2 linked regions of the Caenorhabditis elegans genome follow. The protein of the gene in region 2 purifies or fractionates together with the protein of the main gene of each other region. This does not show direct contact. Each region holds a gene or a part of one and is shown on either strand. Other genes may lie near its edges.

Region 1 (3,990 bases), on a different chromosome or scaffold from region 2:
CTCACAGAGACAATTAGAATTTTCTGGGTTTTCTTCCAACACATTGTCATTATCAGGCTTTCGAAAAAATTCTACAGAGCTATACTTTTTTTTTATTTACTTAAAAACTTTCTTTAACTGGAGAAGTCTGAAGAATTAATTACTAAGTTCTTTGAACATTGCTGTAGCAAAACAAAGAAAAAGTCCTACAGGGGTTCTAGAACATTCCAGAATTTTCCCCAATTTTTCAGTTCTTGAAACTTCCAGAAGGTACTAAAACAAAAATAGTTTCACAGAAAACTTGAATTTCCCTCAAAACAATGTTCTCATAAATTTTGAATTTCCCGCCCAAATTTTTAAGGGTCTCACCACAATGGGTCTCAGGTCTCACCACAATGGGTCTCAGCAAGGTCTCACCACAACAATTCCAGAATTTTCACGAATTTTTCAGAAGGTTCTAGAAAATTCAAGAATTTTTTTTCGAATTTTCCAGAAGGTTCTAGAACATTCCAGAATTTTCTCGAATATTCCAGAAGGTTCTAGAACATTCCAGAATTTTCTCGAATATTCCAGAAGGTTCTAGAACATTCCAGAATTTTCTCGAATATTCCAGAAGGTTCTAGAACATTCCAGAATTTTCTCGAATTTTTTAGAAGCTTCTAGAACATTCCAGAATTTTCTCGAATTTTTCAGGGGCTTCTAGAACATTCCAGAATTTTTTCGAATTTTCCAGAAGGTTCTAGAACATTCCAGAATTTTCTCGAACTTTCCAGAAGGTTCTAGAACATTCCAGAATTTTCTCGAATTTTTCAAAAGGTTCTAGAGCTTTCCAGAATTTTCCAGAAGGTTCTGGAACATTCCAAAATTTTCCCGAAGTTTCCAATTTCCCTTCCAAAGACGGATAGTCAATTTTTCCCAAACTACAATAATCCTACAGTACTCCTACAGTACCTCTCCAGTACTACTACAGCACCCCGACCATATCCCACTACTAACCCCAAACCTATATCTCTTCAAAAGACAAAAGCTCAATTTTTCCTAAACTACAGTAATCCTACAGTACTCCTACAGTACCTCTACAGTACTACTACAGTACCCCGGCCATATCCCACTACTAACCCCAAACTAATATCCCTCCAACAGCCGAAAACGCCTTGCCTTTGTAAGCTATGACGTCACAGACTACAAACTACGGCACAAACGGAATTATTTTTTTTATATATAGGTTTTATATATAGGATTTTTAATACGAGCATTTGGCTTCCCAAGCTTTCATAATCGCGACGAGGCCTAATTGTTGATTTATCGGGGTATGTTTTCTCATCAAATTCTTTGTACCGCGCATGTATGAAACATTTGAACAGGTGTGTCCTTGTGATCTTCATGGGATGTAATTTCGGTAGTGGTTTGATCCAAAAGCTCAATTCAAAATGGAAACCATGGAAATGAATATTTTAACGCTAACAATTTAACTCTGAGATGCACTTTTTCAGAACAACAGCACACTTTAAAAGTTATGCGATCGATTGAAAAATTGATTAAAATTGATTAATCAATTTAATTGGTGATTTTAAAACTTCGAGTACTGTAGCCAAAAGTGGTTGCGTACTTGACACATTTGACGCGCAAATGCACAGAGACTCCATTTTGGGATTTTCAGATCGTTTTTTTTAAAGTTTACTCGTTTCTCTTCGTTTTTTGTTCGTCAATTTATTTTTTTGTATAAGAAAAATATAAAAATACTAGTTTTAAGTAATTATATGGAAAAATCCCAAAAAATGGATTTTTCAGACTTGAAATTTGTTCAAAAAATTGACCTACCAAACAAACAAACATAAAAAACATTTAGCGCTAAATATTCAATTTTCGTTGAGAATTCTTTGTTTTCCATGTTCACATTCACTTCTTCCAAATTTTCCTCGCGTTTTCCATTAATAAAATTATATTTTTACAGATAAAATCTTAAAATGAGCGAAGCTCCTCACTCTTCCAGCATGGCGGATAGCAATTCCACAGTAGAACAATATCGTTCGTTGAAACGGTGAGTAATTGAAAATTAGATTCTAAAAATCATGATTTTCCAGGAAAATGATCGAGAAAAAGGATCTGATGAGAAACAATCGAACAGCACTTCGCGCATGTATCCTGTTCAATTGTCTCCTCGGAACTTCAATACGAGACGCTTATAATCAATTTTGCCGAGCCGTTGGATCCGATGTTATGGAATATCGAGAATACGAGTTCTGGTTCTATCAATTTAAAAGAGGAGATGCTGATTTCAGCGATGCAATTAGGTATTTTCAGAGACTTCAAAGAAATCAATAATTTCATTTTTAAAAAATTGATTTTCAGTTGGAATCCAAACACAATAAAGCTTGATGAATTGCCAATCGAAGTGATTAATACGATTTCCAGCTTCTCTATGCCAATGGAGAGGTTTGTTAGCCAGTTTTATTCAAATTTAAAATGAAAATTTTCAGACTAACGCTTCGAAAAGTGTCTAAAAACCTGCGCACACTCATCGATTCTGAGCCGTTTTGTTTCCAAAGGATTATAGTACGAATTGGACATCGAACATCGTATCTTCAATTGGACGGTTATCCGGGAATTGAATATATTCATTGTGGTGCCGATTGCAATGTTTTATATGGAAAACGTGATAAATATGTTAAAAACAAGAATCACGTTGAATATGCTCTGACGGAAGCCATTCAATTGATGAGAAATTCAAATAATCACAGCAAAGAGTTCCACGTGAGAGCAGAACGATCAAACGATCAGGAATTGTCAATGGTTCTCAGGAAATTTTTCGATTCTGTGGAAATTGAGCTTTATGCGAAGAAAATTGTCGTCAGTGGATTCAGTTTTGCCGATACATCTTCGGTTCTTTGCCATTTCAAAGCGGGATTTCTCGAGGAAATTCAGGTGTTACCGGGTTCCGGTGGCCCGTGGACCAACGTACTCGTCGAAATGGAACAATACAAGAAGGCAAAAGTATTGAAGATTTGCACGGAATTTCCAGTTTTACTGGATATCGAGGATTTGCTGCATTTCCGACGGTTCGAAATTGCGATAAAATCAGATTTCACTGAAAGAATGGCCAGAAAAATTCGCGATGTAAGTTTCCATTTTAATTTTCGTAAGTTTTAAATTTAATTTAATTTATTTTCCAGGTTCTCACCAATTCTGAACATTTCGAATATGCCCACATAATAACTCAAGATCTTCACCATCGGACAGTCATTAAATTCTTCAATCGAAATGCTGAAAATGTATTCTGGAATTATGGATCCATGAATTATAATAACAAGAAGCGCCTCTTCCACATTGAGTACAATCACCGACAATTTGTAATCAAAAAATTAAACATGTAGATAATCAAACAAAAATTGCCTTCTTCTCGAAAATGTATGTACTGATATTTGATTTGCACACTTACCCCTTGTTTTACTCTTTTTACTCTGAGATTTTTCTTGCAATAAACCTTTGTTCAGGTTAAAAATAAAGCACATTATCACGAAAAAAAAACTGTCAAAGAATAACTGAATTCACAAAAAAGTTTCGGTTCTTGCAAATTTTCAAATTCAGTTTTAAATTGTTCCATTGTCATACACTTTAGCAGACCTGCTCATATTTAACATTATACAGAAAATGGAGATAAATTGGAAATAAAAAATATTGATTCATCATTTCTGATGAACGGAAGAAGTCGGGTTTATTGCCTCTTGGGTTATACAGTCCTGCTCCCCGAAAAATTTACTGTTTCACCCAGCTAGCAAAAACACTGAAGAATTCTCGAGTGACTGTTTTGTCATTTAATTTGAACTAAACATCAGCTCCAATGACCTTCTCTGAAATATTTTTGTCTCTAAAAACCTGAAAATATATGCAGAAACAAAAAAAACTAAAATTGTCGAATTTTAAGTTTTTTATAAAAACCCCAAAAATGGCAGTACATTTCAAAATTCGGCTCTTGTCTTGTATAGCCCTGCTCTCGAAAAAATTTACTGT
Region 2 (7,954 bases):
GTGGCATAGAATTGATATTTCGATCTTTGATATTTTGAATACATGAGATTGGAGGAAGAAGTAATTGATCAATTGAAGGCTTATAGTCCTCAACTGGTGAGTGTTGTTCAGACGATGAAGATGAATGTCCTGATCGAATAGAATATGGTACAGAGTCAGCACGTGGTGGATGAACTCTCAACGAATGTTGAAGATATGGTTGTGATGGTGGAACTGTTGATGGTGGGATTATCAATCGATTTATCTCATGTGTTCGTTCTTCGCGACTCAGTTTACAATCATGCGTTTCCAAATAGTTTTTGAGACTGTTGAGCTTATTTCGGATGTTGTTGCATTCCGCCATTTTTTTGTCGTTGCTATTTTTGAAGTCATTTACTTGCTGAAAATAGATCGTGAAATTTATCTTTAATACAATGTTGAAACTTCCTATTTTGAAGTCTAAAAAAACCTATAAGTGTGGTTTTTTTTCAAAATGAAACTGAAATATATTGCAAATCATAGTGAATTTATAAGTTAAAAAATGTTTGAAAGTTAATTATAAAAACTACTAAATTCTTGGAACTAGGCCCAAAACTGTTTTCTGAAATATTTAAAATTTTGAATTTTTTACCGGCATTTCTGAATCTAGAACATTGCAATCAATTTTAAATTTTGTTTTCTATGAAAACGTTCTGTTATTGAGTTAAGAAGATTCCAATAGAAATAGTCAAAACTGGGCCAGCAAGTTGTCAGCTGCTATAACTTTTTCCAGGGTGAGATTGCTAACAATTTTCCAACGGCAAAAATGTAGCCAAAGTTATCATCAACATTTTGCTTGTTGAAAGTATTTAGAGAAGCTGTATAGTTTTTGAGTTATGCTTAACTGAAAATTGCTTCAAAATTTAAGTGTTCACTAAAGGTAGATACCCCACTGCAATTAAAATATCCTAATTTTTTATTTGGTGAATGTAATTATTTTTGAATAAAACTATTACATCTTGCAATTCCTTCATCAAATCAATTCTCCTTTGCCGACATCTTGCAGCAGCTTCTTTATTCCTTTGACGACGTTTCAGCCTCTTATCATCATCGTCATCCTCCATATTATCCTGAAAATCATTGACTCTAAGTTTCCGTATTTTGAGGATTTGTTAATATTTTCTCTGATTACTCAAAAGATTATCCATTTCGTTATATTTCTTGTCAAGTGGCTCATTTTCCCCTCTGCTTGGGGTGGGTGTCTCTCTAAGCTTTTAGGTGAAGACTGGGAAGGTAGGGTGTACGAAAGAGCGAGGGATGTAGATACAATATTGCGTGATGACTAATATATTTACTTTGCATAGTGTACCTGGTGGGCAGGAAAGGGCGTCTATCTAAAAATGAAAAAAGAAATGGACGAAAGAAGGGCAAGAGCATTCAATTTGTAAATATATTATGAGTAGTGCCCAAAGTTTGACTACTGCAAATTTTAACTTTATCAGTTTTGAAGGCTCGGGTTGGAATTTTTGTTCAGCAAAACTAATTCAACTAAATGTTTTTTTCATAAATGTATTTCTAGGTAAGCGTAACAGACAAGAAAAAGTTGCCAAGCTCAGAAAGTTAGAAAAGTAACCAAGTAACTTAGAGCAAAATTAAACTAAAAAATCAAAGTCTACTGTAATTTTGAAATTTAGATTTATCAGTAACTTTTCAATGTCGGCAAACCTAATGTAAATTATGGGTAAATTCCACTGAATACCGTAATTTTCCTATTTGGCTTACATTCTTTTTTTCGAAATTTTTCAAAATTCAAAGACTTTTTGGTAAACCAAAAATGACCGTATTATCCAGGTTAAGGATATCAGGGAAATCTAACTTGAAATGGTACAAACCCCTTTCAATATATAATTGCTTTGACCTACCCGCCATAGTAACTTCCCTCGTCCATAAACGTTAATCTACAGTACTTCTATTTTTTCCGCGTCATACTTAATTGTTATCAGTACGTTAGTGGTGACTAATTTCGCAATGCCACTGTTAATTCTAGATGCTTCTTTTGCATGTTCATGAAACCATCACAAAAATACATAAGCAAGGTCGTATCAACCTTCAAAGCTCCATCAATCTTACCATATAGATCGCAGTTTTATTGTGATACTGCCACGTCATCTCAACGGTTTGAAGAAACACCGAAATGTTTGGAAACAAGAATTGAAAAAAAAAATAGACTAGAGTAGCAGAGAGAGGTTTCAGTGAAAATGAGTCAGATTCGAATGACTAGCTTTGGCTTGCAATGATGACGAAATTTGAGAGCGTTCTATGGGACAGTGTATGAGTCAAAAACGAAAAATGAAAACTGTGAGTCATTTGAGAGGAGTTGAAGGTGTTGCCATGAACATACACACTCGAATCTCCACCCACTGCCTAGTTCTCATACCTGCCTACTTGTTTTTGTCTACTGTGTCTCAAGTTTCTAATCGCAAACTCTTATATTTTTGTAATAGAAAGCAGCTATTCGCCCAATACGTTCGTTTATATTTATTTCTGGCTATACTTACAAAAATGCCCCACTGAAGTTTTGAAATATTCAAAAATCATGCTTGTCATGCCGGCATATACCACATTCAAAAAGTGAGTTTTGTCATTTAAACTTTATAATGGCTGTCTATCAAAAATAAATTATTGAGTGAATACGGCGAGCTAAACTTTGTTACTTAAAATAAGCATGAAGAACTTTCAAGTTGGCATTTTAATTTTCAAGTTGACGCAAATCGCTTAATTGTAAAAAATGTCAATGCTAGAATATTGTATTTTGAATGTTTCGGAGCTTATCTTTTCTTTTTTAATTTGAAATCCAATTATTCAAATTTTTCAAAAAACTTTCTTGGCTCATATATCTCGACGTATTTTTGAACTATTATTGTAAATCATGTTTTAAAAACTAGAGAAAAATACGTAACAATCTTTTTTGCTATACTTTGACGGCTCATATCGCGGCTGTCATAAGCTTTATTGAATATGTTTTACTATCATAATATAAAAAAATATTTTGCACGTTTTTTGTGAGTTGACAAAGTTTTGATAAAACCAAAGAGAACTGGGATATGCTCTGTCAAGGTAAAACGAGGGGGCAAGCCTAGTAGGAAAAATACGGCAAATTGCTAAAGTGTAGTAGTGGATATTCTAGAATAGCAGCAACTCGGTTTTAAACAATAATTCAAATTTTTAGTAAGTAACTTAACTAACCCATAACTAAGTAACCCATAACTTGTAGATAACTTGCCCACCTCTTCTTTAGGTTTTCTCCCAGCCGACGATTTCTTCACCGTGCTATACTGTACCATAGGCGATGAAGCTGCCGTCGAGTAGAAATCGGTGAATGTTCGATTGTAGATTTGATTAGTCGGGATTGCTGGGATCGGACCTGAAGTTTCCATGCTCGTGGACCTTAATTATATCTCTTGCTTACCAAATGGATGTGGCGTAAGTGGCGAGCTGATGTTCGGTGTGAGCGGAGATGGGATATCAGATGGTTGGAACTGAAATTAGTTTTATAGCACGAATATTTGGCATATCTATATATCTTCCTTCCACAATTTTTTATTCTACCTATTTAATTCAATTTAATTAATTTCAACTTCTAAACTCTTACATCCTCCTCATATCCATAATTAAAATTGTAACTATCGTCATATGGGTTCGCCCCAAACATCCATGATACGTCCTGATGAGTCATTATGTAATGACGTGACACTTGCAGTTCTAGAGGTGAGTGAGCAATGAGTATTATGATATTGATAAGCAAATCAAGAAAATAGTGGAACGGCAGTGATGATGAAGATGATGAAGTGTGTGTATAGGTGAAGGGGGAAAGAACGCCCCGCCCATTCTAGGAGGAAATACGGTATTTGTTTGACGATTGACTATAGGACTAAAGGCGGACTGTGAAGAAAGAGAGATGGTTTACGACTCAAGACACTTCAAAAACTATAATCTTTTTTTTGGCAATTAGATAGCAGTATAAGCAAAAATTTTCAAAAGACGTAGAGTGATAAAATGAACCGTAATAACCAGAATTCGTTGTCCTGATGACCTACATCAAGCAAAAATTAAAAGAAAACATTTATGTAAAACTCAGAATATAAAAAAGTTGTTTCACTTTTTGCTCTATTTCAGCGAATTATATCTGTATTGTTCCAACTGATGAAATATGTTTCAAATATTTTCGTAAATTTTGATAATTTAATACCGTATTTCTTCTATTAATATGGCTGCAATACTATTTTTCGATTCCTTCCCGCTTGCAATACTAATAGGGAGTGCAAGACTATTATGGAGTGCAATACTAATTTTCAGAACATTTTCTGACTTTGAGCTTACTAGTTTTTTCCTGAAAAAGCTCGAATCATATGTAAAAATTCAGAAAATTTGATTTTCATATAAGTTCAAAAACTTCAATCTCGTAGAAATGATGTGAAAACTGTTGCCAAATAGGCAAAAAATGTTGTTGAAATCCTGAAATTAGCGAGACGGGTTTGCAATACAAAAAAGTTAACGCAAGACTATTAGAGAGTGCAAGACTAATAGGGAGTGCAATACTAATTTTCGGAAGGTCTCCGAGGGGCAATACTAATAGGGAGTGCAAGTCTAATAGGGAGGCCATATTAATAGAAGATATACGGTAATTTAAAATCTACTTATCAAAGCCTATCAAAAACCAACAAAGCAGAAAGATGGGTATTCTACATTGGTGCGTTCGCTAGAAATAGTTTTTCTTTCAGTAAGTGTTGGAAATTGATAATTAAAAGGTTTCAATTGTCTTATCATTTTTTTATCAACTCTTCCTTTTTCACCGTCATTTGTCAAAATTCTCAGTGGGTTAAACTGATTTAGAACTGAAAAGAATACTGTTTCACACCTACATGTTCAAAATGAAATAGAATACCTGTGAATATAATTGTTCTGAGTTCACATTTGCCAGTTTATTACATTTTTTGTTAAAGTTTGTTTTATTTACAAATAAAGCTCAAAAATTATTTTTGTAAGTCTGGTCTTCAGCGACAATAATTCTAAGAAAACTGGTAAAAAGTTGTCAGCGCAAAGAAGGAACGCTAAAACACGTGATCTCTTTTTATTCGTAGGTCCCAAGCTCAAAGCAGAAGTGACAGATATTTTTTGAATATTTAAAAAATTTGCGTGCCTGTAATATTTTCACTGGCACCGAAAAAAGTTAACATATAAGTATTACTTATCTTTTTTCAACAGGTGCAAACAGGAAACAATCCAAAACGGATTAGCGAGTGCATGAGAGGTAAAGAAGATCACAAAAGTAACAATTGGGGGAAAGGTGAAAGATAGATAGATTACTGTAGAAGTGTGTAAACACGTCGGCATCTTCTTTTAAGATTCCTCGTGCACCACCTATCCATATACATTTAATCCATAACCAAATAGTTTTATTTTTCCGGAACTAAAATCCGGGGGAGATGGCTGGTAAGAACATTTTTGAGGGAAAAGATTCAAGAGCTAGGTAACTTTTTTCTGCATGACTTTTGCACAAAAGAATTAGTGAACGCTTTACTTTTTGGTTTGATACTTTCAGAATTAATATTAAACTAAATGAAAGTAAGCTACTATAATCTCATTTTTATATGGGAAAGAAGAGATCAACTGACAAATGTAAGGCTCGAGGTTGAGTGAAAAATGAGTGAAAGTAATGATTTAAAAGCTCTATCAAAACTCGTGATTATTAGCAAGGGAATAGTGGACTTTGAAGTAAACACTGAATTAAGGAAGATATTTGTGATGTATCATACCTGCAGGAAATCAGTTCCAAAGAATAAAGGGAGTCCATATGCATTTGATGGATAATATGGTGTACACGGAGTTAGAGGTGAGTTGTCGGTTTGTTGTTGGTGGATCTGATGGTGATGTTGTCGCGGTGGAACAATGACTGATGTCGGGTGCGCTTGGTTGATCGGGTTCCTGGGACCCAATTCGAAGTAGTGATTGGAATCGGAGCCAGAACCAGAGCTCGTGGTGGTGTTAGTCGTCGACGATGGTTGTTCGAACATTCCACTCTCTTATATAGCAGAGGTGCTGACACACGATCGGGGCCAAACACAGAAGGTGAGTAACCGGGAATAGAAGTGGAAAAAGTAGGGGGAAGAAAAGGGATTCTGATTCACGAAGATGACTCTTCTAGGTGATGATTAGCACAACACGGGTTGATTGTATCTTTGGACAGGGGACCAGCGATGACAAAAGTAAGTTGCGTGTGTGGGCAGGTGTTTGGTTGAGAGAAGAAAGGAGCGAGGGAAAGAGAAAACTGTCGAGAGCAACGGCCACCGCGAACGGTGCGCAAGCTCCGCCCACACCTTCGGGAGGACGACACCAAATTTGAATTTTCAAAGAGCCACCGCCAATGATATCACCAAGAAAACGCCGGCTGGTGACGGGGTGGCCGACGGAACTGTGTATTAAAGTGCACGAGAGTTTTTGATAACTTTTGATTTCGAATATGTGACAATTGACTAGATGGTGGGTGTACGGTATTTATGTAACATACAAAAAAAAACAGAAACTGTCGAGAAAGGAGACAAAAAAGGCGAACCATTGGGTGCTTTCTGTTTAGATATTGATGGTGAGTCAGCAACATCGAAGACGAGATGGGAAACAAAAAATGGTATTGTTTGGGATAGAAGAACCGGAGACGTCGTCGTCTTCCCTTCTTTTATTCTACAAAAGTATGACATTCCGGGGAGCAGGTGCTCTCTTTGCCAATTCAGCTAATTATTTCTTCTGTGAAGCTTCCCGAGTTTCTAACTCAAATAACCCAATTGGCATTTGGCTCGTTGATTGCAGAGAAGAGGTGATGAATACCGATGATTCAGTGCGATGCGTGCACGCGGAACGAAGGATGACACTAACAGGTATGTGTCGTTTGTTGACCCAAAAGCAACAGCAACATTTAAATATTTGGATGGATGTCTAAGTCTATAAATTTAACAGGCAATAAACTTTTAATAACCTTTTTGGATGAGAGGGGCCTAGCTCAAATAAAATAAAATCTAAACGTTTACAGCTTATATCAGTTGTCATTTGTTCTATTGAGAAATTGCCAACTGACAACATTTTTCAAAAATTATTTGTCTGTCGCTTGAATTTACTTATTCACTAATATCTTCACAATGGACCGAGCTGTTACTTTTTTAAAATGGCGCAGTAGAGTAGTAGAGGACAAATAGAGGAAATATTATAATTTAAATTTTGAAATTGCATGCCATACTAATGAAAGACATGAGGTAGTCATCAAACATTGGGTGCAAAATAATCATTTACTTGTTTCAAGAAAGTATTTCCAATTTCTATGAAACATGCTATACTTTCGTTATGATCTGAAGCTAGGTTGCATTTTGAAAACAACATTTGAGCTTTCTGAAACTCAGTCCAATCAAGGGCTGTACAGCCAGCTTCTGCTGACATCGATCTTGATTAGACTGACACCGAGCTCAATAGATTTACCAGAGCCAGGAACTTATATTGATGCGATCTCAAAAAAGCTCAGCTTCCAAAACATTTTATCATATTTTCAATATGACTACCCGTTACGGAAATTTTTTAAAAATATTTACAAGTTCAAAACCGAGCTACAAATATCTCCAAAAAGATTTTCAATAATTCATCAATTTACTCGAAATATTTTAAATCAGGGGACGTTTTGGCCAGTAAATCATGAAATGTTAACTTCCAAGCTCCAATAAAAAGACTACCAAATCTCTGAAACTTTTCCAGCTTCTGATGTTTAAAATTCAAAATGTTCTGTTTGTACAGTACAACAGTTTCACACTTCTTTTTTCCCAAATCTTTTCAATTTCCTTCTACTCCCTTGTTTCTTCCCGATCGTGCCCTAGATAGTACTCCAATCACAATAGACGCAGAAAATGCACTTTTTCCACCTTTTCCCTTTTTCTTGAATGACGTGATACCGGTGTGT

What was found. Proteins that work in one complex are often made in the same cells at the same time.
Region 1: the proteins of fos-1 (region 2) and fbxa-215 fractionate together in Caenorhabditis elegans (co-fractionation; one large-scale study listed by BioGRID). This does not show direct contact.

What each region holds. Positions count from the first base shown.
Region 1 is NC_003282.8:13,664,853-13,668,842, reverse strand, and holds fbxa-215 (F-box domain-containing protein), read left to right. Parts: upstream 1-1,933; 5' UTR 1,934-1,946; coding exon 1,947-2,020; intron 2,021-2,063; coding exon 2,064-2,273; intron 2,274-2,331; coding exon 2,332-2,415; intron 2,416-2,459; coding exon 2,460-3,096; intron 3,097-3,152; coding exon 3,153-3,353; 3' UTR 3,354-3,479; downstream 3,480-3,990.
Region 2 is NC_003283.11:6,006,644-6,014,597, reverse strand, and holds the start of fos-1 (Transcription factor fos-1), read right to left. Parts: upstream 6,033-7,954; coding exon 5,775-6,032; intron 3,906-5,774; exon of another isoform or gene 3,851-3,905; intron 3,498-3,850; coding exon 3,428-3,497; intron 3,383-3,427; coding exon 3,246-3,382; intron 1,318-3,245; exon of another isoform or gene 1,195-1,317; intron 1,089-1,194; coding exon 975-1,088; intron 380-974; coding exon 1-379. UniProt on the Caenorhabditis elegans protein: Developmentally regulated transcription factor which binds and recognizes the enhancer DNA sequence 5'-TGA[CG]TCA-3'.